Linked DNA regions of Oryzias latipes. The protein of the gene in region 1 binds, or shares a complex with, the protein of each later gene. Links are inferred from orthologs where the notes say so. Each region holds a gene or a part of one and is shown in the gene's direction. Other genes may lie near its edges. The genes, in order: sf3b5, cwc27, snrpd2, sf3b4, ddx42, rbm48 and rbmx2.

What was found.
Region 2: sf3b5 (region 1) and cwc27 share a complex: the UniProt entries of both Homo sapiens proteins name them as parts of the minor spliceosome. The link is inferred for Oryzias latipes from reciprocal best matches to the Homo sapiens genes SF3B5 and CWC27.
Region 3: sf3b5 (region 1) and snrpd2 share a complex: the UniProt entries of both Homo sapiens proteins name them as parts of the minor spliceosome. The link is inferred for Oryzias latipes from reciprocal best matches to the Homo sapiens genes SF3B5 and SNRPD2.
Region 4: sf3b5 (region 1) and sf3b4 share a complex: the UniProt entries of both Homo sapiens proteins name them as parts of the SF3B subcomplex of the 17S U2 SnRNP complex. The link is inferred for Oryzias latipes from reciprocal best matches to the Homo sapiens genes SF3B5 and SF3B4.
Region 5: the proteins of sf3b5 (region 1) and ddx42 are in contact, whole or in part, in a cryo-EM structure (PDB 7EVN), measured with the Homo sapiens proteins. The link is inferred for Oryzias latipes from reciprocal best matches to the Homo sapiens genes SF3B5 and DDX42. Residues at the interface, in NP_112577.1 of Homo sapiens: Arg4, Tyr5, Thr6, Ser9, Gln10, His13, Leu14; in NP_031398.2 of Homo sapiens: Asp156, Ala159, Tyr160, Phe161, Tyr163, Met164, Asn167.
Region 6: sf3b5 (region 1) and rbm48 share a complex: the UniProt entries of both Homo sapiens proteins name them as parts of the minor spliceosome. The link is inferred for Oryzias latipes from reciprocal best matches to the Homo sapiens genes SF3B5 and RBM48.
Region 7: sf3b5 (region 1) and rbmx2 share a complex: the UniProt entries of both Homo sapiens proteins name them as parts of the minor spliceosome. The link is inferred for Oryzias latipes from reciprocal best matches to the Homo sapiens genes SF3B5 and RBMX2.

Annotation. Positions count from the first base shown.
Region 1 is NC_019873.2:17,221,611-17,225,835, reverse strand, and holds the start of sf3b5 (splicing factor 3B subunit 5), read left to right. Parts: upstream 1-1,425; 5' UTR 1,426-1,550; intron 1,551-3,424; 5' UTR 3,425-3,449; coding exon 3,450-3,710; 3' UTR 3,711-4,225. UniProt on the Homo sapiens protein: Component of the 17S U2 SnRNP complex of the spliceosome, a large ribonucleoprotein complex that removes introns from transcribed pre-mRNAs.
Region 2 is NC_019870.2:3,013,862-3,017,361, reverse strand, and holds part of cwc27 (peptidyl-prolyl cis-trans isomerase CWC27 homolog), read left to right. Parts: intron 1-201; coding exon 202-314; intron 315-1,336; coding exon 1,337-1,440; intron 1,441-2,751; coding exon of another isoform or gene 2,752-2,800; exon of another isoform or gene 2,801-2,978; intron 2,979-3,005; exon of another isoform or gene 3,006-3,241; intron 3,242-3,500. UniProt on the Homo sapiens protein: As part of the spliceosome, plays a role in pre-mRNA splicing. Probable inactive PPIase with no peptidyl-prolyl cis-trans isomerase activity. As a component of the minor spliceosome, involved in the splicing of U12-type introns in pre-mRNAs.
Region 3 is NC_019871.2:25,537,851-25,541,790, reverse strand, and holds the start of snrpd2 (small nuclear ribonucleoprotein Sm D2), read left to right. Parts: upstream 1-1,140; 5' UTR 1,141-1,269; coding exon 1,270-1,271; intron 1,272-2,615; coding exon 2,616-2,795; intron 2,796-3,940. UniProt on the Homo sapiens protein: Plays a role in pre-mRNA splicing as a core component of the spliceosomal U1, U2, U4 and U5 small nuclear ribonucleoproteins (snRNPs), the building blocks of the spliceosome.
Region 4 is NC_019869.2:7,220,376-7,224,000, forward strand, and holds the end of sf3b4 (splicing factor 3B subunit 4), read left to right. Parts: intron 1-2,788; coding exon 2,789-2,958; 3' UTR 2,959-3,125; downstream 3,126-3,625. UniProt on the Homo sapiens protein: Component of the 17S U2 SnRNP complex of the spliceosome, a large ribonucleoprotein complex that removes introns from transcribed pre-mRNAs.
Region 5 is NC_019866.2:4,153,514-4,156,422, reverse strand, and holds the end of ddx42 (ATP-dependent RNA helicase DDX42), read left to right. Parts: coding exon 1-99; intron 100-1,379; coding exon 1,380-1,973; 3' UTR 1,974-2,409; downstream 2,410-2,909. UniProt on the Homo sapiens protein: ATP-dependent RNA helicase that binds to partially double-stranded RNAs (dsRNAs) in order to unwind RNA secondary structures. Unwinding is promoted in the presence of single-strand binding proteins.
Region 6 is NC_019869.2:21,761,674-21,765,568, forward strand, and holds rbm48 (RNA-binding protein 48), read left to right. Parts: upstream 1-1,342; 5' UTR 1,343-1,357; coding exon 1,358-1,519; intron 1,520-1,980; coding exon 1,981-2,171; intron 2,172-2,253; coding exon 2,254-2,399; intron 2,400-2,615; coding exon 2,616-3,151; intron 3,152-3,157; exon of another isoform or gene 3,158-3,242; coding exon 3,243-3,305; 3' UTR 3,306-3,395; downstream 3,396-3,895. Other genes in the region: pex1 (peroxisome biogenesis factor 1), read right to left, coding at 72-155, 255-401, 1,041-1,148; efcab1 (EF-hand calcium-binding domain-containing protein 1), read right to left, coding at 3,456-3,506, 3,579-3,683, 3,808-3,895. UniProt on the Homo sapiens protein: As a component of the minor spliceosome, involved in the splicing of U12-type introns in pre-mRNAs.
Region 7 is NC_019872.2:23,467,974-23,472,250, forward strand, and holds the start of rbmx2 (RNA-binding motif protein, X-linked 2), read left to right. Parts: upstream 1-1,477; 5' UTR 1,478-1,580; coding exon 1,581-1,585; intron 1,586-3,119; coding exon 3,120-3,235; intron 3,236-3,317; coding exon 3,318-3,369; intron 3,370-3,437; coding exon 3,438-3,567; intron 3,568-3,642; coding exon 3,643-3,829; intron 3,830-3,898; coding exon 3,899-4,176; 3' UTR 4,177-4,277. Other genes in the region: ap4m1 (AP-4 complex subunit mu-1), read right to left, coding at 627-684. UniProt on the Homo sapiens protein: Involved in pre-mRNA splicing as component of the activated spliceosome. As a component of the minor spliceosome, involved in the splicing of U12-type introns in pre-mRNAs.

The DNA of each region.
Region 1 (4,225 bases):
TTGATTTGTTTACTGCAAACTCATGACAGTTTGCATATTTTGCCAACAAACCCAATTTTTAGTGCTGCCCAGTAAAGCAGCAGAACATGCATTATTTATAAACTTTAGTGATGTTCTTCCTTTAAAATGGAGCTTCTTTTAAAAAAAAAAAAGGAACGAGGTTGTTCTGTTTCTTATTCTGTGTCATAAATAGCATGAAAGAAATTATAAAATATTGGAATCACTGAAAAATATTGTAACTTTACTTGATTTATGTAGCACATTTAGTAATACTGACGAAGCAGGGTTTTTTGCACACGTGAATACATGGCCACTGGTCACATACTGACATCTGAAAACCATCAGACCATTCCTGTCTAATGTAAAACTTTAATGTAAAAATTTAAAAAAACATTCAACCTCCTGAGAACCGAGGAAAAAAAGTGTCTTACAATTCCTGTTTTTATGTGATTTCCTATCTATTTAGGCCTAGAACACCTAACAATTTTAATTTTTTTAAAAATATTTTTTATTGTAGATAGAAGACAACAGGATGATATTTCTGTGAAAATAGAGATCAATTTGGAAAATCAGAAAAAAGGAGCAGATTAAATCTTTAGAGTGATATTCACCCAAAAAACATTAGATGATCCTCGAAAATATTGTTATCGATGTACTGTGAAAAGTACGAGATTGGACTCCAGTATTCACAAACTTTGGGGTCATCTTGAGCGGGGCGCCCTGCTAGCACAGGTGTAAACCTGTGATGATGTACGTTTAAAAAACACAAAAAAAATCAAGTTAATAAAAAAAGCAGTTTTTTTTTTTTCCATTTAAACATAGTACAAACACTACAATGTTCTAACATGGTCATAAAATGTAAGACATTAGCCTGAAACTAAATAAAACATGCAAGTTAGTCCTGGTCCACAGAGCACGAAGACTTTGCTGCACCTTCTCTGACTCATCAGATTCTCCTGAATTATCATCTTCTTCATCTTCATCATCACCTATCACAGACTGAATCTCACCCTCCTCATCCTTTTCATCATCCGAAAGCTCCAAATATGAATCAACCTTCGACTATCTGGTACAGAATCCTCTCAGCTTCACTTCTTTCACCTAAAAATAATGTGTAGCCATTAAATAGATTAAAATGGTCCTGGTGTCCACTACAGTTGACATTCATTAAATGCCTGCTGTTTTAAAACCGAAAACCTGAAACTGTTTTCAGATCTAAAAATATTGTTCCTAACCTGTTTATGACCAAGAATATATATAATTATCATTGTAAAAAAAAAAAAAAAAAGGAATAGATACAGAATATTTGACTTGCCTTTCACCTTTCCATAAAATGAGGTTTTATATGTCGTTCACTTTGGTGTCCACCTTTACCATCGCGTTAGGAATAAAAAGTCGGAACAAAAAAAACACCGTCTCGGTTTCTCACCGGTTTGTTAAGTCGAAGGCAAACCGGAAGCCAGCTTCTGCTCGTCGCGGTGTGTTCGGACGGACGCAGTTTTTATCATCTTTTTCAAGCTTCACCTGTTTTTCAAACCCGCGCTTTTCAAGTAAGTTGACCTTTTATATGTATATCATCGATGGCCACATGGAAGTTGCACCGCTGGCTACGAGAGAAACTAAAGTTCAGGAGTTTAAATAGGTTATTAGCCGAGACCCAGGCTAATGATATAGGATCAAGCTAACAAAGTAAAATGTAACTTTGTTTTAAAGGGATAGTCGTGCTTTCAAAAACGGTCATATACCATAAATGGTAAATATCTGCAATAAAGTATGACACGATTTTATTTAATTTCTGGTAGTTGTGCATTATATTGATTTTCCTCATGGGAAAATTATCCATTGACTCTCCGAGGAGTCCTTTCCTTAAGACCAGAATTTCTAGCAGTTTAGCTAGGCTAAAAGGTTCAAATCTGCATAGCTGTGAGAAATCCGTCGTTTTCCTGTAATTCTAACAAATCAGTCATGCCTTTGTTTTTAATTTGTCACACTAATTCAAAACTTGTTTCATGTTATTGAAAGGGATGATAATCTAAGAAATACAGAATTTGTTGGTGTGCAAACAACAAAACAAAGCTTTTGTATTTCATTATGTCAAAGTAAACTGCATATGATCTGGAGAAAAGGGACGTAAGAAACATAAGGGGAAAAGTCTGTATTAGACATTCAACTCTACGGTTTATTAATATTTTTGTTTTTACTGAATATTTTATTTTGATGTTTATACACACCACTGCAAAGTATAGTAATTTAATAATTATTCTACTTCTACACTAGTTTAATAATAGACTGGTGAATGGGTATGTGTTCAATGTGTCCTATAAGATTTTTGTGGGGATGCTGGGTAAGTAAAGGATAATAGCTGACAAGGTGTCTTGACAGTTTAAGCTTCCTTGTCGTCCGTTAAAAGACGGATAATGACCTTTGAGGTGTCCATTATCAGAAATTATACCATGGTACGGGTGAATACTCAATTCTGATTGGCTGCTGAGTGTGCATTAAAAAAGTGATAACCGCACGTCTAAAAAAAGAAGTTCCAGTTACATTGCTTAGATGTTCTGTGTCACTGCGCCGGCTTTTTTAAAACAGACATTTGTTTCATCATCTGGATAAAAACAAGCGGTGAGCGGTGAACCTTCATTCTGAACTGATGCTTTAATTTAACATACACCATCATGACGATCAGCTTATTTATGGCTTTTACTGCTGCAGTGGAGGTCGGTGCCAGCTCAGCGTGTTGTCATGTTACGGTAACGTGACAACACGCCACACCATGTTGCAAAAAGTCCGCTTTTTTTGAAAAAAGCAACGTAAACCGAAAAAATAACAAGAATAAATGACTAAAAACTGATTGAAAATGTATTTGTTTTGTAAGTGACCATGGTAAAAGCAGGATAATCAACGCACTAATAATCAACGGAAGCATCGGGCAGTTTGGGTTTCCACGGCGTGCGTTAATTTCTGGCAACGTATACTTTGTTGGTGACTATCCCTTACTTAATCCCCACTCAGCAGCCAATCAGAATGGAGCATTCACCTGGACCATGGTATAACTGACATTCATTGATATATTTGAAGTTTAGCAGTTGGATGTGGTAATCTTTACTTTCAGATGCTCCCCACTCATTGGAGAGACACATAATAGAATTTTATAGGCTTGTGAAGTGTATTTACCATTAGCCATGTTTATAACATTTGCTTCTTAAAGGTTTAATTTATTTACATGTACCACCATATAATATAAAAAAGGCATTATTTTGAGTTTTTTTTTCCTTCAAATTATTTTGTTTTTATCTTTGAATTGTAATTTTCCTCACAAATGTCACAAGAATAACTAAAACCTTCTTGTTTATGAGTTTATCTGACTGGATCGTCTGTTTGCTGAAGCACAATTCAAATCTCTGATTTACTTTCTTTCTCCCAGAGCCTGTTGACTGATCTCAGAGAGAATGACTGACCGATACAATATCCACAGTCAGCTGGAGCATCTCCAGTCCAAGTACATCGGAACAGGGCATGCTGACACTACCAAATGGGAATGGCTGGTGAACCAGCACCGTGACTCTTATTGCTCCTACATGGGTCATTTTGACCTGCTCAACTACTTTTCCATCGCTGAAAATGAAAGCAAAGCTCGTGTTCGCTTCAACTTGATGGAGAAGATGCTTCAGCCATGTGGACCACCTGCAGACAAACCCGATGATGCATAAAACACAGCCCAACCAACTGCTGCAGCTTTTTTTCCCTCTTACCTTTTCTTTTTTTCAGTTTTGGACGGTTGTTTGTTTCTAACCTTGAGGTCAGAGCAGCCAGTAAAATCTGGTATTCATGTGTTCACTGAAGCTATTCTCACTTGTTTGATCGGTGAATACATTAACTGTAGTGCTTTCAGGAAACGAATGAGAATGACGACACCTGAACTTATCCATTTCAGAAAATGTTAAAAATGTCCAATATGTGCACAATGTTGAACTGTTGTATTTCTAATGAAAACATTATTTTTCCTTTGGTTAAGCTCTTTCACTGATCATTTTATTCTGGAAATATGTCAGTTTTCTAAAACGCATTTAAAAAAGTGAGAACGTTTAAATGAATAAATCATCCAAACAAGACGTTTTATTGTAAAAAGAAAAAGACCAAAGTCATCCTTAGGACTTTGTTGAAGGAGCAGCAATGGCTATAGCAGTGGTTTTGTTTTTGCTTAAAATATATGATTTTGTTTTTT
Region 2 (3,500 bases), on another chromosome or scaffold:
TCGGTTGTTAATAATATGACTAATCTAAAGTATTTTCCTTGTTTTTATTTTGATTAATCATTTTTATCTCATTTTAGTCCTTGTACAGTACTTTGGAAACTGTTTGTTTGGGAAATGTACTGTATTGTAAGTAGTGAAAGTGTTTTTTTTTTGTTTGTTTTTTGTTTTTTCAGTAATCTGTCATTTCTGTCCCGTCTTCAGAAGCCGAGCAAAAGCCCACCAATGAGGCAGTGGCTGAATATCTGGAGGGACGGAAAAAGTACGAGGGGCTGAAGACGAAAAAGCAGAAGAAAGGCTCGGGCCGAGAACAGCAGGTAACACATCAGAGTGTTGACTGACGTCAGCTGCTTCTAAAAACCCCAAAAGTAAAGTCCAGACATAAGGAGGACCGTACTTCTGCTGCAGCCACTTTTTGGAACCATCTTCCATCTCACGTTAGACAGTCTTCCTCACCACCTGTTTTCAAATCTCCTTTAAAGACCCACTCGGATGAAAATGGTGTTTTTAACGTCTTCTTTCTTGCATTTTTCTGACGATGGAGGACATTTAGGAAGAAAATTCAGCTGAAAATTGCATTTCTATTTATTTCTTTATTCAAATTGCTGTGAATCAGGAGCAGACAGAAAAAATGCTGACTGAAAAAGATCGTATTTGTGAAGTAAAAAATCTGCTCTGCTCCATTCTGATACATCCATTGTAGATGACTAGATCCATGTATGTCTGTGAAGCTCTGGTACTGCTCGCCGTTTTTATTGAATAGGTTTGGGGGGGGGGGGGGGGGGGGGGGTCTGAAGCTAGAGGGAGAGCATGTAAACGAAGATCTCTCAGCGGTAGGGAAGGAAAGGGGTGAATTTCTCGTGTCACTCTGCAGAAACTATGTTCTAGAGAACGACTTTTGGATAAAAACAGCATCATCATAATTTAAAAAAAACACTGGGAACGATTTTACAACAGATCTAAAGATGATTGGAGTGGGACTTTTAAAAGAAACACTTTTTTAAATGTGGCTTTGAAGACCCCTATAGGGGTCTTTTCTTATTTTATTGGTTCCACTTCATTATAAATGTAGTAATTTTATTAATTATGTGTCTTTTCTACATGAACGATTTGAGAGGATAGCTTTTAAACCACTTAATGTACATATAAGTGTTTTTTTTGTATTGTTTTCATAGTCTTTTAGTGTTTCCACGATTGTACAGCACTTCAAGTCTGCACAGACAATTTAAATGCTCTATAAATAAAGTTGGTTTGGCATTTTTACAAATCTGAGCCGAATCACGCGGATTGTGGTTTTTGTGTGGCGGCTAAAATGGTTGTTTCTCCGGTGTTGGGACAGACTCTGGCTCTGCTGGATCAATTCAAGTCTAAGCTGTCGTCAGCCATCACCGAAGGTCCGGAAGGGGACGTGGAGGAGCTGGCGGAGGACGACGACAAAGGATGGTCAGTGAACCGGACGCCCCTTTTCACGAGCCCAGAAAGCCTATTTAACATTTCTAATTAAGATAAATCTTTATTTTATCCCTGCGGTTCGTTAATAGCATATTCTCTAATATTACTACCGTAATTGAAGTTTTAAATAGTTCAATTCAATACATTGATAAAGTGTGAGTTCACTGCTGAGTTTACCTACACAAAAGAAACATGAAAATTGTTGTTTAATGTTTGAATATTTCAAATATTTAAATCATAAATAAATTGTAGAATATATTGTTATTAAAGACTTGAGGTCCAAATATCAACACTATAAAAAAGCAAAAGATGCACAAAAGATATTATATTTATGAGGGAGTTTTAGGGCCACTAAAAAAAAAAAAAAAAAGGAAAATTACGAGATTTTAAGTCATAGATTTACGAGAAAAATACTTGTTAATTTAGTAGGTTTTTCTCGTAAATTTACTACTTAAAATCTCGTGATTTAACAGTTATGACTTTCTTTCTCGTGAATTTACGACTTCATTGTCGTAAATTACATTTTTTGTTTTTTTCGTACACTGGCCCTAAAACTCTGTTGTATATATTGAATGAAAATCCAAGAAAAATTTGCCAATTTGCAGGTTTCAGGCCGTTCACGGCCCGTGCTTAAAACCGCTACTGCCTTAAATCCTAACGGTTAAAGTGGAACCAGAAAAATCTGACGCCAACTTCAGCGTCTAAGACGGATAAATAAAGGAAAACAAAACACTAAAACGGTTATTTTCTAAATGTAATAAGGAAGCTTCCATTGGAACAACTTTAACAGCAGCATCCTCGTAACATTAGACAGCCGGTGTCTTCATGTTCTGCCCCCCCATGTGTCAAAGTGTCCTTGGGCAAGACTCTGAACCCCACCTTGCCTCTGGTGGGAGGTGGGCGCCAGTGTTCGGCAGCGGAGCCGCCATCAGTGTGTGAATGGGTGTGTGACTGGGTGAATGGGACTGTGACTGTAAAGGGCTTTGGGCCTTCCAGGAAGGTAGAAAATTCAATTCAATTCAATTTTATTTGTATAGCCCAAAATCACAACAACAGTCGTCTCGATGGGCTTCGAAGTAAAACATGAACTTAAAAGGATCACGAATACAAAGAGTTCAATAGGAAAATACTAAAATGAACTAACAAACTGACTATGCTATATTGGCATCCCTAGAAAAGTATTCACCATTTACCGGTACCATTATGATTGTGGGAACAACCGTCACAATACATCCATATTTGGTGGAAAAACTACTGTTTTTTGTCTGTTAATTGCAGATTTCTTTTATTTTGAAATCAAAGGGCTCTTCTTCTGTTTCCTCTCTGGATCTGTTCTCGGGTTTGGACATAGCAGTCGACGCAGCCACTTTAAAAAAGTGCTGGATGGAACTGTGACAGGTGACCAACATGCGTCAGGAACGAGTTGGATGTGGTGGAGAAAAAATATCCAGCAGTTTTCCAAAGTAAAACTTCCTTCAGAATCTGATTAGAAATAAAGCAAAAAATAATGTGGGCATTTTTTTTATTATTATTATCACTCTGGGGCCCGGTTCCAGCTGTCCCATGGGCGAGCAATACATTTGTGTCTACTTCCTGTGACGTCATTTCCGGGTGAGCTATTCCCAGTGCTAGTTGTGTGACTGCTGTCCTCTTGTTTGGCATTAGCCTTACTACTATTGCTTACTCTAAGGGTTATCTGGGTTAATATTCACATCTAGTACCTTTTATTAGCTAATTCACCACTGTTAAACCGCTTTTTGTTCACTTTTCTCATTTTGCTAAATAAACCACTTCTCTTTACTTAAACACCGCTAGCCTTAGCTTAGAACCTAGTATGGCCACCACCACTCCTTCCGCCTCTCCTCCTCTCTCCTGCCCCATGTGCCATATGTTTAGTGATGATCCTGCCTCCTTTAGTGAAGATAGGGGTAGGTGTGTTAAGTGTAGTCTTGTGTTAGACTTGGAGGCCAGGCTGGAGCAGTTAGAAGCGCGGCTCCGCACAGTGGAAGCTAAGCCGGCTAGCCAGGTCGTTACTCGTAGCGCGGGCCGCG
Region 3 (3,940 bases), on another chromosome or scaffold:
GACATCTCTTCAAAACAAAACTTATATTAGACTAACATTAGATAAATACACCTGCTGTAGATCTCATAGAACTCAGTTGTGAGAGTTTCTAAATGACACTATAATGCATCTTATAACTTTTTATAATTGTATTATAAATGGTAAATGGCGTATAATTGTACTGCGCTTTCTACCTTCCTTGAAGGCCAAAATCAGTCACCTATTCATACACAGATTCACATACTGGTTTCCTGGTTGCTGAACACTGGCACCAACCTTCCACCAGAAGCAAGGTGGTGTTCAGTTCAGCGTCTTTCCCAAGGACACTTCAACGGTAGGGCGGGTATCGAACCTGCAATCTAACGATCAGAGGGTGACCACCCTACCACGGCTGCCCATGTATGCAAGACATGACAGCAATAAACCTGGAGCCTAAAACTTTTACTATTAAAGTTTTTTTGTATTGTTTGATTTGCAAAATGCAGTTACAAAAGGCCATGTTTATAGTTTCTTGATATTGAATTATATTTTTCAAATAAATGAGTTTAAAAATACTGCTAAAAATACAAATGAACAATGCTGCATCATTTGTTTAGCACCTACAATAATAGATAAGGCAATCTGTGATTTGGAACGTGGCACATATGAAAAAAAGGAAAGGTTATTATTATTATTATTGTTTTTGTTGTTATTAATATTATTACTATTATTGTTGTTGTTGTTATTTCCAATATTTTAATTGTTGTTGTTGTTAATAATGTTGTTGTTGTTTACCAGGCAAAGGTCACAGACTAAGCAACGTCTCTTTTATTTTATATTATTTCTTGATACTGTCAACCTGGACTTTGATATCCTGCAAATGCAAAATAACTGGATAAAAGCAATGCTGAATTTAAATGTATCAAATTGTATTTAATTAATCTTTTTCGTGTATTTATTTAAACATGTTCTATAATGTCGTTTGTTAAATTGCTGCATGAATGCTGGGGCATTCATAACAGTTTTAACTTCGGCTTCAGTAACGAAATTACTAGAGATGGATGCAAGATTAGAATAGAATATTTTAGCTGATGACCGTTGTTTGATTTTTTTTCTATTGTTGCCAAAAAGAATAGAATATTTTTCGAATTTTTGGTTTGCGTCGTAACCCGGAAGTTATTCTATTTAAGCGCGTTAATATCACCGGAAGTGATTCTGTGCACGCGACTGTCGGCTAAAACGTTGTAGACACGACCGACGCACGAAAGAGGCTTTGGAACTTTACTAAACGGTTTTTATAAACCAGGAATCATGTTAGTATCTTCTATTGTGTCTCGATGTTGAGGGCAATGTTACTTTTTACGTTTAGCTGCTAATATGGAGATCGCACTATTAAGCTAGCAGCATTTTCCTTCGAGTTGGTGCTAGATCGCTTTGTGTGGCCTAGTGGGTGGTTTTTAGAAATGTGTTAAATTGGATTACATTGCAATTACTGCATTCTCAAATTAAATTGTTTAAAAAGTTACGTCCAAAGCTAAATTCTGTGATTGTACATCGCGCGAAAGCTTGATGGACGTACTAAGCCTCATTAGCTAATTGCTAATGAGACTGTTAGCTTGCTCTATCCATCATGAGTAAATGTCCTCGTTGTGCGATTGCAGCATTCATTCTTTAGAAAGTAGAAATGTTTAAGCTTCTGCAAGATGATATGATCAAAGTCGTCGGTTATAGACTCATTTTGTGTGAAAGCCAAAGTTTTGTTCTAAATATTTTGTGCGTAAAGAGCCTAAACTCTTTGCTGATCTCAAAGCACACACTGTTCAGAGATTGTTGAAAACTTCAAATGTATCTGGAAACAATAAATGTTCTGTGCTCATTTAAGGGTGGCGGGAGGCTTTAATGTTTTAAAACTTGATCCTTTTATAAAGTCTAGTATTTGTTGACCTTTATTTAGGTAAATTGTTTCTCTATCATCCAGAGCAGCCATTTTTTTTAAAGTAGGTTTTACTTCTGCCTATTTGTAGTGATCATTGTACAAATATAAAGAAATATCGAGACTAAAATGTACTGATTCAATTTATCAATGACCAAAGCATTTATTGTGTGTGTGAGATAATTCCTCAATAGTTTTGATTCCGTCTGATGTAATGTCTCCTGTACAATGGTTTTCTGGTTAATACTAGTTTTGCATGTTTAGTTTTATTTAGATATTTGGTTGTGGTCCATTTTCCTGCTTAAGCACCTTCTGCCTCTCAAATGTCTCTATTAACTGAGCACTTTCAGTCAACAGCTTCAGCTCTCATAAATGCTCTTTTGCAGGAACTGAGACTTTTTTTAGCTGGTTCCACTTTTCAGATGTCTTGCCTATATTGTACATTTTTGTGCTAACTTGACTTTATAAGAAAATGATCATTTTGTTGAGGCACACAGATGAAGCCAACTCTTGGATTCGCATTAACAGTAACTAATGCTTGTGTGTGCATTAAATACGAAAGTGTTGCGTTTGTGTCTTTATATTTATTTTTTAATTTAAAAGAATAATAATAAAAAGGCCCAAATCCAAATAATAGGCCGCCCAAGCAGTCGATGCTTAAACAGTACATCGTTGCTTATTTTGTTTGCTGTTATCACTAATTCAGAACTTGTTTAATCCACAGGAGTCTTCTAACGAAACCTAAGTCAGAGATGACGCCTGAAGAGCTCCAGAAAAGAGAAGAGGAGGAGTTCAACACTGGCCCTCTGTCGGTGCTCACCCAGTCAGTCAAGAACAACACCCAAGTCCTCATTAACTGTCGCAACAACAAGAAGCTGCTTGGAAGAGTCAAAGCATTCGACAGGTATTGGGGGGCTGCTGGTGTAGCGGAGAGAGGTTTAAGTGTGTATTTAGGACTTTTATATGAAGAGGAAACAAACACGAAGAGCTTGCATCTTGATTTAGAAAGTGTTGCTTCACTAAAGCATATTTTTGCAGTCTTTTTTTCTTCTTCTTTCCAGGATTTGAAATAACATGGCGCCTTACAGTGGTTTTATTCTAAAATGTTTCAATTATTCCCTCCTCTCTTTGACATATTCCTTTAATAGAATCAAGAATAAAATACATTCAGAAGAATTCAAATACAAGTAAAACACTAAATATAAGCTCACAAATGTAAGAGATTAAAAAGGCGTCCATAGCATCTCCTCCACATTGGGTACTGTGCCTGATGTGGGTGTGGGGTTTGAATGATTTCATTCTCTGAAGCATTGTTTTGTTTTTTTATCAAGTATGAGTTGAATAAAAAGCCACTTCTTAAATACTAAACCTGTTTTAAGGGTTAGATGTCAACAGCAAGATTTCTATATGTAGTCACTTGTGTAATAAAATCAAATTTTCTTACAAAGCTTAAGCAATGAAGAAGGGAGATTGCAAGATGTTTTATTTCAATAGTTCTTGCATTGTAATTTTCTGATCTTTTTGGTTTTTAAAAGAATAGATTACGTATGTGAGCAAATCCACCTGAGCACCCCAAGATTTCAAATGCCAGTGAGTTATTAGTATGAAGGTAAAAATGTGTCTAAATAGACGAGCTTGTAGATTTGGTGTGAGAACTTGTAATTTACAATGTGAGAACTTGCACACCAAAAATCTGCATCTGTGTGTAAAAATCTTCTGCTGTAAAGTCTGACAAACTAAATCAGAACTGACAAATTCCCATTTAGAGTTACAACCTCCAATCTGGGATTACAACTGCTCAAATGTGAATCTGCTGGCGCACATCACAAGTGCACAACAACTGCGCTCTGACTTCTGACACATTCCTTGTGAGAAACTTGTGTCAAAATTGATCTGTGTACGAAAACGGAACGGGGGGGACAATAGGGTCATGATTAGTCAGTACAGAAAGTTTGCTGACATTAGCTTTAGTATCTTTAGAACTATTGAGCACCTTTATTATGAATCATGTCTCTTAAAATGTGAAAAACTATATAAAATATATTAAAC
Region 4 (3,625 bases), on another chromosome or scaffold:
ATCCCTACTTCATGTTGACACCCCTGCAGACTTTTAGCATAGTCGTTTTTGATCATAATTAGAATACAAGACATATAAGTTCTCTGATCCGGAAATAAAATCCGATTCACGCGATTCAGCTCCGCACATCCCTGGACAGATTTGCTAGTTTTAAAGCAGTAAATGGTTTTACAGCAGGGATGTGGATGAGTATTTTGAAAGAGGAGTGGCTGACATGTGGTCAGAGATGTATAAAGTTTAAAAAGTCCTTCTTACTTTACTGCAGTGGATTCAATTATTTTAGCTGCTCTAAAAATACTTAACTTTTTTACTTAATAAATGAGATGCTAATTCGGATCCATCTAAAGCATGGGTGTCATACTCATTTACACCGAGGGCCACATCTGCATAGCGGCTGTCCTCAAAGGGCCAGATATAACTTATACATGTAACTAAATGTAATGAAAAATAAATGTAACTACTCCTTAATGTTAAATAACTCATTATTTACTATAAATTTTTAAAGTGACAATTACAGTTGCATAGAAAACATGTTTGCTTGTTTTTCCAGCATAAATCCTTTTAAATTTGATTCTGTCAGGTTAGGTTATATGGACAGTGTTTAAGTCCTAATGTATAGTTGCCCTGTCTACACCATTTTTTTTATTTTATTTTAAGAAATTAAAAACTTTTATGATCTCGCGGGCCACATAAAATGACATGGAGGGCCACATTTGGCCCCCGGGCCTTGAGTTTGACACATGATCTAAAGGAACCCTTCAAACATAATCTGTTCCAAACTTTGGTCTCATTTCTTTTTCAACTGTGACTAAAATCAGTACAGTGACCTAATGACCTACGGCTTTAGTTTGACTTCGGCCTGGGCGAAAAATCGATTGAATCGATTCGAAATTTTTGTTACGGGCAGTAAGGCAAACGACAAACAACAACATCATAGCTCACACGGAACAACAAGCGACAACATGGCTACCGGTGAGAGTGGGAAGTTTGTTCCCAAGAAAGGAATAAAATGATCTGTTGTTTGGAACTGGTCTGGGTTTACTGCCACAGACACACACACAGTCATTCTACAAAACCTATATAGTTAGTTCATTAGTTAGATAGGTAGTAGTTAGTTGTTAATGTTATTTGTTAATAAAGAATACTGGGTTGTAATTATTACTTGTACCGGTATTCATTTCTGCCGCTGCCGCCGAAGGATTTTGTGTTCGGCGGCGCCGGGCGGGGGGGTTGGCGGTTGACCGCGACCCCTGCTGCTTCATCACTGAAGTGATGGCTTTGCATATCGCCAAAGACATGACGGTACCCATATATACCGTGGAGAAGACGGGGTTTAAAAATTTGATTAAAACCTTAGACCCCAGATATGAGCTGTTTTGTTAATCCTCTAGAAAAAGGTGCTACTGTCAAGGTGAATGTTTGTCTACTTTAGTCTAGACTACAAAGTGTGACTGAAAACACAACTGGGACTTTGATTCCAAGAGTGTGTTCATTTATTTAGGATTCATCCCAGAAATGGGGGTTACATTTGTCTTGCGTTTGATTAAATAAAAGCAAAATTTGCTTTACGTTGTCTGCCGTTTGTACTTATTGCTTTCCTAAAGTATGGGGGGATCGGAAATCGAATAAAAATAAGTGAGTTAGCTGCTGATTTGTTGTCTCTGTGTTTTCACGTACGCTCCGTATTCTACATCCTCAGATAAAAACTGCAGTTTATTTATTTTTAAACATTTTTAGGAATTATTCATGGAAAAGTAAATTCAGTGATGACAGTTGATGCTTTTTTACACCAGAAAATGGTTTTAAACTGAGAATCTTTTCTTTTAAGAAATATGGGATATATTGATCATTAGGAATAAGAACATTTAGCCACTGGATATTTTAACAAATGTGTATTTATATAAAAAAAATAATGCAGAAAGCAGAGCACCTAAACCCCACAACTGTAACAAAATAGTTGAATAGTTTTTCTAAAAGAAAAAAAGGTTTATGTCCTTTTGCTGAGCGTGAGACTTAATCCCAGTCTTGTGCCTGGAGTCGTCTATATAGAGGCTTTTGGGTTTCTCCAATCTTCTGTCCTTTACTGTCCTCACTGCAGTGGATGGAATAATCACATGACTGGTCCCCAGGATTTTGTCCTTGACCTGTTGTAACACCCGTCAGTCTATCAAAGTACTACAAAACAAACAATATGCCTCAAGTTCTCTAAACAGTCTTGGTTACTTAACCCCACAAGAGCTTCACCCGATAGTTCATATTCACCGCCTCTCCTTGGCATCCTCCACCCTCCACATAAAAGGAATCCAAGTGACTCGCAGGGCGACGAAGTTCCATCCGTAGGATGAACCCACGTGGCTCATTCACAGTTGATGGGGTTTTCAGTCATTCCATGCATGTGGGGGTCTCACCCCATTGCAGAAATAAAATCCCCGTAGCTTCCATCGACGCGGTTGGACTCCTCTCCGACGTCTCCGGAATCTTCAACAGCACGTGTCTCTCTCCTTCACCCCCCTTTCCTCGTAATAATCAGTTTTTCGCCTGGGCGGCAGGAAGTCCCCAGGTAGCCATATTTGTAGTCCAAGAGTCTCCTGCCAATGTAGTAAAACGTCCACTGCTATTCATTCAAACATAAACTCCCAAGAAAACCACATAGACAGGACTTCACCTGTACATTATGTAGCAGGTGGTTTCAGCTGAGAACTCCACTTGAATCCTGAGGAAAATGCAGAAGACTACTGGTGCTTTCTCACATTTGATTCCATGATGTGACCCTCTCTGTGTCTCTCAGGTCCCCCGGTGCCTCCTGGTATGAGAGGCCCTCCTCCCCCCATGCCTCCCCCCGGCTACGGTGCTGCTCCACCCGGTCCTCCTCGTCCACCTCCTTTTGGAATGCAGAGGCCGCCAATGCCCCCCAGACCTCCAGTTGCCCCTCCGATGAGGGCACCAATGCCACCATAACCTGAACTGCTTAGCAAAAACTGGCTTTCGTTTGTTTCTTTAGAAAAAGTGTTAACATTTCCTCGCTTTAGTTTTAAACATGGATGTAACTGAACCTTCAGTTTGTTTTTGCTCAATTGTACAGTCAAACCTTTGCCCAATAAAACTTTTAATACGGTTTTTTCCTATTTATTTGTTTATTATGATGTTTTATTGTAACAAGTTGCAGCTGTTTGCAGCACAATTTATAAAATGTTTGATATTTTATGTATGTTTTTAAATTTTCTTTTTTGGTTGATAATAGACAAACTAAGATTTAAAAGCTTAAGAGAAAATGGTAAAAGGGAAGCAAAATTGTTTAATATGGACTCAATTTCATGATTAAAATCATAAAAAGGTGGTTTTTCTTTTGCAAAAAAGCCTGAAACATGATTTAGTTTAGTGATCAAAATCAGTTTTCTCTCCAAAAACACTTTAAGACGTGTCGCGTTTCTGCAGCCAAGTCAGTTAAAGGCAAATCAAAGTTGTCATGGCAACTGGAGTCAGGTGCGCTATTTGCACACTGGTGTGTGCGTTCAGCCTGTGCACACAATTCCACGAGTGTCCGCAGACCATTGTGTGTTTGCAAAACGCGTAACGAGGAATGGTAACCAAACAAAATTACGCACGCTCAATTAATGGACACGAG
Region 5 (2,909 bases), on another chromosome or scaffold:
AGCAGCAGTTTGCCTTCAGCCAGTAGCTTTGACGGTTACAGCAAACCAACCACCGGAGCTATGGGGGATCGCATGTCTGCATTGAAACAAGCCTTCCAGGTACGCTCCGTGTTTAGTTCTTTACATATCGGTGTCGTGCCACAATTATTTCTCTTCGTCTGCTTTCTTTTTGCTTTTAAGTTAGATAAAGGTCTGGTATTTGGATGGAATTATTCTAGACAGTCCCAATCACTCCCAACTGTATTTTTCTTCTTTGGTCAAACTGTTTTCCAGTGCTCTTTTAAAGATGATTGTGCAGCCAAAATCCAAAAGCCTGTTTTGTTTTTAGGACAGATTTTCTGCAGAGCAGCTGGAGCTCATTAGAAATTCGCTTTTACATTCAACTAACAAATGACCACATTAGGCTATATGCACATGCTACTTCCTTATTCAGTGTAAGTAATTTTAGGTTTAGATTCCTTTAGCGGAAACGTGTGGCATACAGGAAAATGGTTGGGGCTTTAGAGTTTTCTAGATATCTTTTGGAGCTCCCTAAAGTCACACAAAAAAAAAAAAGGAAATCTGGCTCTAGAAGGACATCGGCTGGTCATAACTTGTAAGCCTGTTTTCAGGACCTGTTATTGCAGTGTCAATGTCAGCCGCAGTAATGTCAACAAGCGGGTCTAGACTAGAACAAGCGACAGAAACGGAGCATGCGACATGTAGACATGTAACAAAAAATACTGTCTTTAGAAACTCAACACCTCTGCAAAAACACAAACATACATATATACTGCAATTCTTTCATCTCCAAGTCTGCGACATCCGTACATCCGAAAGCCATCATCTGCTCTTCCCGGTAATTTATTCCCAGACAGCAGGACGTACGGCATTAAGCAAGTTCCCTTCAAAAAGAACAGACACGGCTCCTCTTCTTAAGAATTGAAAGCTTTATAAGGGATTTTTGCCAAATATTATATCCCACTTCTTTTCTAACTCGCCATATCTGTTGGGAAAAGAGTGGAAACTTAATGAGTTTACATTTAGCGGATGCTGCTCATTCAGGGACACAGCAATGGCAGCTTGATGTCTTGATCTTTTTGTTGTCATCGTGTAAACACACGACAAGCGAACATAGTGCAAAGCAACAAACAAAAGTCAATGAACACAGACCGGTTCTGTTTTCTGAGAATCTGCGTATGAACTTAGCCGCAAGCGGGAGCCACTCGGCAGTCTCATTTTTAACTAAAAATACGTCGCACAGTTTTAAACTAAGAAATATTGGTTACATGGGTTTCAAGTAACATCTCTTGAATGACGTTTGACGTAAAGAATTTATTGGTTCTCTTTTGCCTCCCAGCTGATCACTTATGGTGTGTTTTTTTATTTATTTATTCCAGGCTCAGTATAAAAGCCACTTTGTAGCTGCATGCAGCGGTCCTCCAAAGCTCAGCGCCAAGTCCAGCAGCACCTCCGGCTGGACCAGCGCCGGCAGCCTGAGCTCCGTCCCAACAGAAGCTGCCAACGGGTCAGAACGCTCTCAGATGGCCAACTTTGCCATGGCTGGTTTCACCAGTGCCGGCTCCCTGAGCTCGGTGCCCCCCATCCCCAGCAGTCCACAGCACAGCAACGCCACCCCGGCACCCCCCTCCCCAAAGGAGAGCTCGCGAGACAGACACGGGGAGGAGCGGGGGCGCTATGAAGACAGTCATCGCCACAGCGACAGAAGTGATAGGCATAGTGGAGACGATCGCTACGGAGATCGGGATCGCCGCGGAGACAGGGATCGGGACCGACACGGGGACCGGGATCGCCACGGCGGCGGCAGCCGCCACAGCGACAGCCGTAATGGCGACGGAAGCAAGAGAGATCGAGAAGACGGCAGGAGTGATAGAGATGGAGGAAACAGGAGGAGCGGAGAAGGAAGGGACAGAGATGACAGCTTTGCGGTCCCTGACCCACCAAAACGGAGAAAAAGCAGATGGGACAGCTAAGGAAAGCATTAGCAAACGTTATAATATCATTTTTGTGCTACCAAATATTTGCTCCATAAGAAATTTATAGCTGTAGCAGGACAGATGCTGGCACAAGCACAAATCTAAGAGAGCTGTTCACTTGAAATGGAGTGAACTTGTCCTAAAAATCCGTCAGGTTGGTTAAGATCTAACTGTTTGCTCTGAAACCACGTTTGCTCCAATGACTGCTTCAAGACAGCCATTGTACATATGCCATCCAGGCTGCTATCACTGTAAGTCAAGCAATAGAGTTGTAATGAAAAATGTTGTCTGTGAATTAAAAAAAAACAAAATCCAGTTTGACATGTGTTATCACTTGTTCATGAACCCCTAATTTCCTGTGTTGCTTTCAAAGCTGGTTTACTAAGAGGTTTTCATTGAAGTCATATTATTTACAAATAAATCCACATATCAAGACAACACAGTGTTGCTCGTCTTACATTTTAGTCCCATGGCATGTGGTCTTGTCCTTGTTTGCTTGTTAATCCAACTTTTCTTGGAGCTTTTAGGTGGTTGGAAGGTAAAAAATAGTTTTATTTCAAACATATAAAAACAACATTTATACACTTGCTGATAACAATTATTCAAATGAGTTTCTATTTGAGAGGAGAAAAATAAACATGTTTGAAAAGGAGAAAACTAGCTGATTTAAAGCCAATTTGTTTTAATTCTGGTGTCAGGTTGTGTTATGATGTAAATGAAGAACAGAATGGGCCAATTTTCTCTGACTTGGCATGCTGGAAGTCGGATAAAACTAGATAAAGCTCTAAATTTAGTTTTGTTATTGGCTGCAAATTTAAATTTGAGCTGTTTGTGTATGCCTAGCTCAAGTATTCCCTCCAGTGTTATGCATGTAATTTGTTTGCATTTTCTTGTGAAGGTAGTAAAAAAATAAATGTGTTTAAAAACATATTT
Region 6 (3,895 bases), on another chromosome or scaffold:
CAGGAGATTGATTTCATGATAATGTATAACTGCAATTAGACAAATTACACAAAAGTCAATATTTCACTCACCAAAATCTCCCAGTCATCAGATGACAGTGGCTCCACAAACACCTGATTCAGCGAAGAGACTTGATGGCATGGTCTGAGAAAACACTGTGAAAACCACTCAATGTCAGACCAATGTTAAGAGACTGTTGCACAGGCAGTGTTCGTCCCAGTTGATGACCTAAAGGAAGAAACCAAGGTCTTTACCTGTTCTCCATCAGTCAAACCGAGCTTTTCTCCAAGCTGCCGAGACAACTCCACTCTGTGGCTGTCTGCTCCTAAGGAGGCTCTGATGGGACACCAGCTAAGGAACACTGTCGACCCGCCGTCCCAAGACAGCTCCAAAGCCTGATTCTAAAACGGACCGGCCAAAGAGAGACGATGAAATAAGACACAGAATGGTCTCTTAAAGCGGATGTCGAAATTATGATTCCAACTTTATGAATGTTAGATACTTGTGATACCTTTATTAGTTTTTATTCTTGTACATTTTGTATCATTACATACATTTCAGATTTTATGCTCAGCAGAAGAATTAAATTAAAAAATTGCAAAAATATTCCACAGGTGTGGTAGCAAAATATAGAAATATTGAGATGATCACATTAGTTATTATAATAATCAACCTTTTCTAAATTAAACTATTTCTAGGAGTTAATGTGTTAAAAATCAAAACAATGCAGTTTCCTTTAGACTAAAGACCCCTGAATGAGGACAGTATTTGATGCCCAATTTCTATTTTTACCAACAATTCATTTTTTGTTGCCTTGCATTACTTCCTAATACTAATTAAGTACACGTGATAATAAAAAAATGCTCTGCTTTTGTTATAAGTTTTAATTAAGAAAAACTAAAACCTTAAATGCAACCAAAGGTCCCCTTGTAATGTCAGAGAAACAAACCAGCAATGTGTAAAACACAAAAGCAGTCATTATTCAGTAAACTTTATGCAACAAAACTGAAGCGATGTTAAGTAATTAGCTAATACTTTACCTCATTCAGAGAAAGGTGCGATATCAGCTTTGAAGAGAGTTGAATAAAGCAGTTTTTAGTGTTGTTAAAAACAACACATACTGGTTGAATTCCCTGGTTGCTAAACATGACGTTTACATCGCTATTTTAGCATTTAAAGTGCTTAACATGCTGGTGCGCTAACGGCCAAAGTGCAACAAACATTTCGATGAATGAGAGAACTGATCCAGACAAAACAGTCGATTGTCGATGGAATCGATCATTTCAAAATAAGACTGCCACGTCGTCAACACTACACGTTGAGTGCTCTGCACAACGGAATGAACTCTTGTTTTGAAATGCCACCAAAGCGGAAACGCGTTTCAGCAAACATGGCGGCAAATGTCAACAGTAAACCTGGTTGTTGGAAGGTCCCAGAAGTCTACAAACATCACGAACAACACAACGCATGTTTTTCTAGACCCAAATATAGAGATGGAAGGAGAGCTAAAGCAGTCAAGGTAAGAAAAACGTTTCTAATGTTTGTAGCAAAGACGGTCTGTGTTGACGCAAGCGACGAGCTAATAATTATGTGTAAGTTGGTTTTATTTTTACATTTAAGAATGTAAGAGAAAATTTTAAAATCTTTTTTTTTAACTGGAAGAAAAAAGTATAAATTGTAGTCACACAGCAAGTGATAAATAAAAGACCAACGGCAGGTCTTAAAAAAACAAATAAAACTGTCGTTTTGGCAAAAATAAATAAATAAAATTAAATAAAAGACATGGTAAAAAGTTTGAGTCATTTCGAAAAAATTGTAATTAATAAACCATAAAAATCAAATTTCTAATACAGTAGACTGGATTTCTGAGTTGCAGGAAAGTACATCAGATCTGATGATTATGTCTTTAAGTTAATTGATTTTTATTGGTCACGTCAACAGCCTCACATATACTAATAACCATGCCTTTGTATCTGCCAGGTCTACACAATAAATTTAGAGTCCCGTTATGTGATGATCCAGGGAGTCCCCGCTATTGGAGTGATGGAGGAGCTGATCCAGTTGTGTGCTCTTTATGGAACAGTGGAGGAATACAGACCGCTGGACGAGTATCCTGCTGAGGAGTTCACAGAAGTCTACCTGGTCAAGTTTCAAAAACTGACAAGTGCTAGGTATGGCGGGCACCTTAACTGTACTGCCCTAAACCAGAAATGCTGAAAAATATGTCATTCAGGTTGATATTTGATGTTCCAGAGCGGCGAAACGTAACATGGATGAGAAGAGTTTCTATGGCGGCGTGCTGCATGTGTGTTACGTCCCGGAGTACGAGTCTGTGGAAGACACCAAGTTAAAGCTGCAGGACAGGAGAAGTTATGTTCTGAAAGTGGCTCGGAGTAGAGGTATTATCGCATTTTGACGATATACGGTGTTGAAAAGCACTGAATCTTTTTTTTCTTAGGTAATTGTTTTTTAAAAGTTCAATGAAAAAAAACTGTGATTAAAAAATTTTTTTTGTGTATTTTTATCTGAAATCAAATGTTTTTTGTTGTTTTGTAAGTTTAAAGTATAGATAAAGAATTTGATGAGTGTCATTTATCTGTTTCATGTTTATACAGCAAAAGAAAGAGTAGCGGATGCGGTACACATGGAATCTACGTCTTCAGAAAGCGTTCCCACATCAAGCAGAGTTTTTGCTACAAATAATCCAATCTTCAATAGTGACAAAACAGGCGAGACTTCAAGCTTCAGCCATTGTTCCGGATTTCCTCTACTGCCTTTACCCCCGCAGGAATACTTTCATCAGGATTATCGTGGGAACGAACCAACAGAAGATCAAATGGGGACTTTACATGACGCAGTGCCTCCTGACGTAAAACAGCAGAAAGTCCAGAACTTTAGCTCTTTCAGTAAAGACCCTAATTCCGAAAAAAAATTGGCCTCCAACCCAGATTCTTCCGTCAAGCTTGTTCCAAGAACTGCACATTTGGAAAAGAACAAACGCCGCAAAATGGAGGAGGCCACAAAACAGCCAGTGCCTGATTCTGGAGAACCGTCTTTGATTGGACCAAAACTACCAGAACCACATAAGCTGGACATGAATGATCAGTCGCTAAACACAACAGTAAATCTGATCAGGGGCACAATGAAGCAGGTAGTCTTTTATTTTTTTTTTAATGAGAATTAGAGCTTGACATGATGCCATATTGGTGCATTTCAGTCTCATTCTTTTCATTCATTCCTAGGTGACATCGGTCCCAGACCTCAAACCAGCGGAGAAGAAGGTTAAGCCACGCCGTCGGATATGATCCATTCTGTTTTAGTGACGACTGTCCATATTTATCAAAACTAACGTTGAAAGGCTCAACTTAAAATAAAATTGTACTTTAAGAAAAACATTTTGGCTTTTTCTTTCATGAAAGTCTCAAAGTTGAACACCGCTTGCACTTCATATTTTATTATTCATCTTGCTGCTTTTCCAGTACTTGCTGCTCAAACTTCTTCTTTGTCTAAAAAGAAAGATTTAAGTTAAATAGATCCTTACAATATTTTTAAGCTCAGCAACTTTTGGTTGTGATTACCCTGAAATTGGGCAGGCAGCTTCCAAAGGCTTCAAGGAGTAGCTCCTCCTTTTTTACAGACTTCTCAAAATCTTGAAAAGACAGCCTGCCGTCTTTGTCGTGGTCCTGTGGAATCACAGGAAGCAATGTTGGCATGTTACCAAAATAAATCTGCACACATCAAGACAAAATTCTTACAATCAACATCGATCCAAATGTGACAAAGGCAGATGGGAGGGCAACATCTCACCATTTTTTTGAGGACAATTTCCATCAGTTCGTTGATCTCATCCTGTTCATCTTGATAGTCGTCTTCTCTGCCTTCCTCTTCAAGCCGC
Region 7 (4,277 bases), on another chromosome or scaffold:
ACTGAGAGGGAACAGATCATTCTCCATGTCTCTGTGTCAAACTGGACAAGGAAGCATGTGACTTCCTGAAACTTCTGTCCAATCAGAGGGTCTGAATACTGTGACGCTGTCTAAGCCTGCTAGAAGGCCCTGCTGACACCAACTCAAAATCTGATTGGATGAGGGAAATTAATCTCCGACATTGATTTTGCATTAGAGGGCCTGCAGAACAGATAGTGAAGGCCTCTGTAGCTCTGACCCTGCCTGGCAACAAAGGAGAGCTGGAATGTGATTGGTTAAATGTTCCAATGTGAAAATACGTCTGGAAGCAGCATCACCATCATAAACACACTAAAAGAGGAATGGACAGACCATTTGGAATGATTTAATGAGAATGCATGGACGAACTCTAATTAACACATGATTCAGATAATTTTTAGGCCTTCAGAGAAGCCCATCACCATTGAAAATAACAACTTTAAAACACCTGTGTCTGACTGATGCAAAAAATGTACCCCAGATGGGCAAGTACAAGTACCCCTGCTAGAGTAAGTCTGTCCCAAAGGGGAGATCTTTCACTGTATAGCAGAACTGAACTTCAAAGCAGGATGATTTAAACAGAAGCAGGTGAGAGCTGAGAAGGATACAGTCTCTGAAGAGGAGGGGGTCGCCCTTCGAGGACAAGATGAAGAGCTGCCGGATCATCCTGCAGAGGATAGAGGACTGTCGGGGCAACAGTTCACCCCGGTGGGACAGCTAGGGGGAGTTTCAGTGCCACTGCAACATCTGCAGAAACAACATCTGCAGGAACACGTCCAAGTCTGTCTGCAGAACTGCAGTCAAGCCGAAATAAAGGAGAAAACCCCTGTTTATGGGGGAAATGACAAACAAGCAGCATCTCATATTCACTGCATGAAACTAGTTATTATGAGGAAAAAAATAAACTAACAATAAACAATCAGATTGTCTGGTGTGTGCTACTGTAGGTGTGCGTCACACATTAATCTCAAACGTGTTAAAGGTGACACTGAGTAAAGCGGAATAGGGTAAAGACAAGTCGAAGGAAAACTGAATTTACCTGAAAAGATGACACAGTTCAGACGTTTAAACTGAACTTTAAGTGTTTTAAAGCCATGCTAACGTGGAATTACAAATCATTTTCCAGTTCCACGTAAAATCTCCTGCAATGATGTCGACTCTAAGAAAGGGTGTTATTTAAACATTAAAAGCTTGAAAAACACAACACGCTTTAAAACGTCCACTGTCTGGTTTAAGTGTTGCATCCTGTTAAAAATGAACTGTTAGCTTGTTAGCGCCACCTGTCGTGCAGGCGGAAAGATTGGACGCTTGCTTTTTACAGACAGAACATTCAGCATTTCACAATTTCTTACAAAAATAAAATAAATACATTTCTTGTTTATTAAAAGCAGCATTCGGGCAGTGTTAGACGCTTCGCGTTCGCGCAGTTTTCTCGTTCATTTCATCTGTAGTTCGGTCATCCAACCACCAGGCGGCAGCACACGCAGAACCTCCACAGGAAGTGCACCACTTCTCCACGCTTGGTCTTTGGCACCATAACATCGCTGCTGTTCGAGCTCACCATGAAGTAAGTAAACGTTTCCCTCTACAGCCATTACATTAGTTTTTATTTTTCATTTGGTAGAGAATCCCTTTTCTGGTCGTTGGTTTCCTGTTGAGCGGATTCCAGCCGATAGCAGCAGGCTTTATGTTTCGTGTGTGTCGCCTTTTCCCCATTTCCATTCAAATTCTCCACTGTAGAACTTCAAAAACTTCTAAAAACTTCTAAAAAATCAAATTTGATTTTTTTAAACTTAATAGACCAGGTACTGAATAGCCACCTACTGAATTCGTACTTGCGTTTGATTGTATTTGCATTTTAGAGGTGTAACGATTGCATACCAATCAGTGGTTGTTGATGTGATTCAATCATTCGATAATTGTTCGTTTTATCCGATTCAGTGACCTAATGGATCCAGGACATCTTTATCCAAAACATCATCCAGTGTGACTCAGCGAGAAATACCTGCTACTGAAATGTGAAGTTTTCCAGATTCCTTAGATTTCTTCCAAGATAATCAAGTTTAAATTAAATATGTACAAACAAAGAATTAAAATCAAATCCATCCACATTTTAGTTTCCTGAAGTTCAGCCCACTGTTGTTTTTCCACATCCAAAGAATCCAAAGGGAACATTCTAGCACACTGTGTGGTCACATGACTTTCTAAATTCAGTTTTGGACTGGAATGATGGTTGATCAGTTTTTGATGAAATTACATGTTTTTTGTCTGCTGTAATGCACTCTGTTAATTTTGATTGTGTCTGAATTCCTTCAATACTCACTACCTAGGGGGCACTATGTAGTGCACTATATATTGCCCTATATAGTGCACAACATTCACCATGTTGTAGTGCTGTCCGAACCTACAATTTCAAAGTCGAGTGCCCTAGAAATTTCCCAGAAGTCTCTGCGAAAAAGCAGTGTGCATCGAGTGAATATAAACCACAATGCATTGCGTCGAACAGTTTTTGCAATTTTCTTTTTTTATGTTAGGGTGGGAACTTGGGGCACAGCCTTTATGTTATAGTAAAATGACCTCACCAGGTCTCAATCCAAACGGTGGTTTCCAATATCGATTCAATAGGCAGAGCTGAAGGTAGCAGAGATGAAGATGTTGAGGTTCTCTTTGGGAGAGACCAGGATGCATCAGGAATGAGTCCATCAGAGGAGCAGATCATGGTTGATATTTGGGACATGAATGCAGATGGAGATGGTTTGGAGGAGCAGCAGTGATGATGCTGAGGTTACAGAAACCAGGAAAGAGGCCTAGCGGAAGACCACAGAGGAAGTTCATGGATGAAGAGGAGGGCATGAGGGTTGTTGGTGGGGACGATAGAGGAGAGAGCTGGATGATTAATGTAGCAACTAAGAGACAAAGAAGATATGGTTGAAATCTTCATAATGTTCATTATGTTGAGATGGTGCATAAAAAAATAAATTGATGAAACATGAATATTAGAAAGCTGACCTTCAGGTTTATTTCACTTTGTTTAAATGAACAGAATCTTGACTGCTGTCTTCTAAAACACTGAAAGTTTCCTGCCGGTTGATTTGTTTCAGTCCTCTGACGAAGGTGAAGCTGATAAACGAGCTGAACGAGCGCGAGGCCGACCTCGGGGTCAACGAGAAGGTGTCGTGGCACAGCGAGTACCGGGACAGCGCCTGGATCTTTGTGGGTGAGGGGGCGGAGCTTCTCACAGGAACCTGCAGTAAATGAAGCGTGAAAGCAGGTGGTTGACGTCTGTTCTGATCCTGCAGGAGGCTTCCCCTACGAGCTCACAGAGGGGGACCTGCTCTGCGTCTTCTCTCAGTACGTACCCACAGCCTCGCTTTGGGGTGGGGTGGGGGCACACACCGCTTACTGATGTGTCCGTTCAGGTACGGTGAGATCGTCAACGTCAACCTGGTGCGCGACAAGAAGACGGGAAAGTCCAAAGGCTTCTGCTTCATCTGCTACGAGGACCAGCGCAGCACCATCCTGGCTGTGGACAACTTCAATGGCATCAAGGTGAGGCCCCCACCCCCCACCCGGGGCGGCGCCACTGTGAGCATCCTTAATGATGAAGCTCTTTCTCCCCTCCAGATCAAAGGACGCACCATTCGCGTAGACCACGTAAAAAACTACCGCCCCCCCAAAGACGGCGAGGACATCGATGATGTCACCAAACGCTTGAGGGAGGATGGCTGCGCCCCCACGGGCCCTGCCGCCCCCCCGTCCTCCTCTGAGGATGACGAGCAGCTCGTCATACCTGTGAAAAAACCCAAAAAAGGTGAGGTCACTTCCTGTTCTGTCATTTATGAGGGGGAGGGTCAGTTTCACCTGTACTCTTCTGCTGCAGACAAAAAAGAGAAGAAGAAAAAGAAGAAGGAGAAGAAGAAGAGCCGAGCTTCCTCCTCCTCACCTCCCATCCGAGTCAAAGAAGAAAAACGAGACACGGCGTACGACAAGTACGCCACGGGGGGGTCACAGAACGGACACAATGAGACGGAGAGGAGGAGGGAGGAGAAGAGGAGAGACAGAGATGTGGAGAGTAAGAGAGAGACTGAACGAGAGAGGGAGGACAGAAGGAGAGGAGAGAAGAGGAGAGAGGCGGACAAGGAGAGCTCCAGAAGATAGATGGAGGAGTAAAGAGAGGAGAATGATACATTCTCTCCTCAGCAGAAGAGCTCCCCCTGCTGGCTGACATCCTCCTGTAAACAAAGCTTCCATGAGAAGCC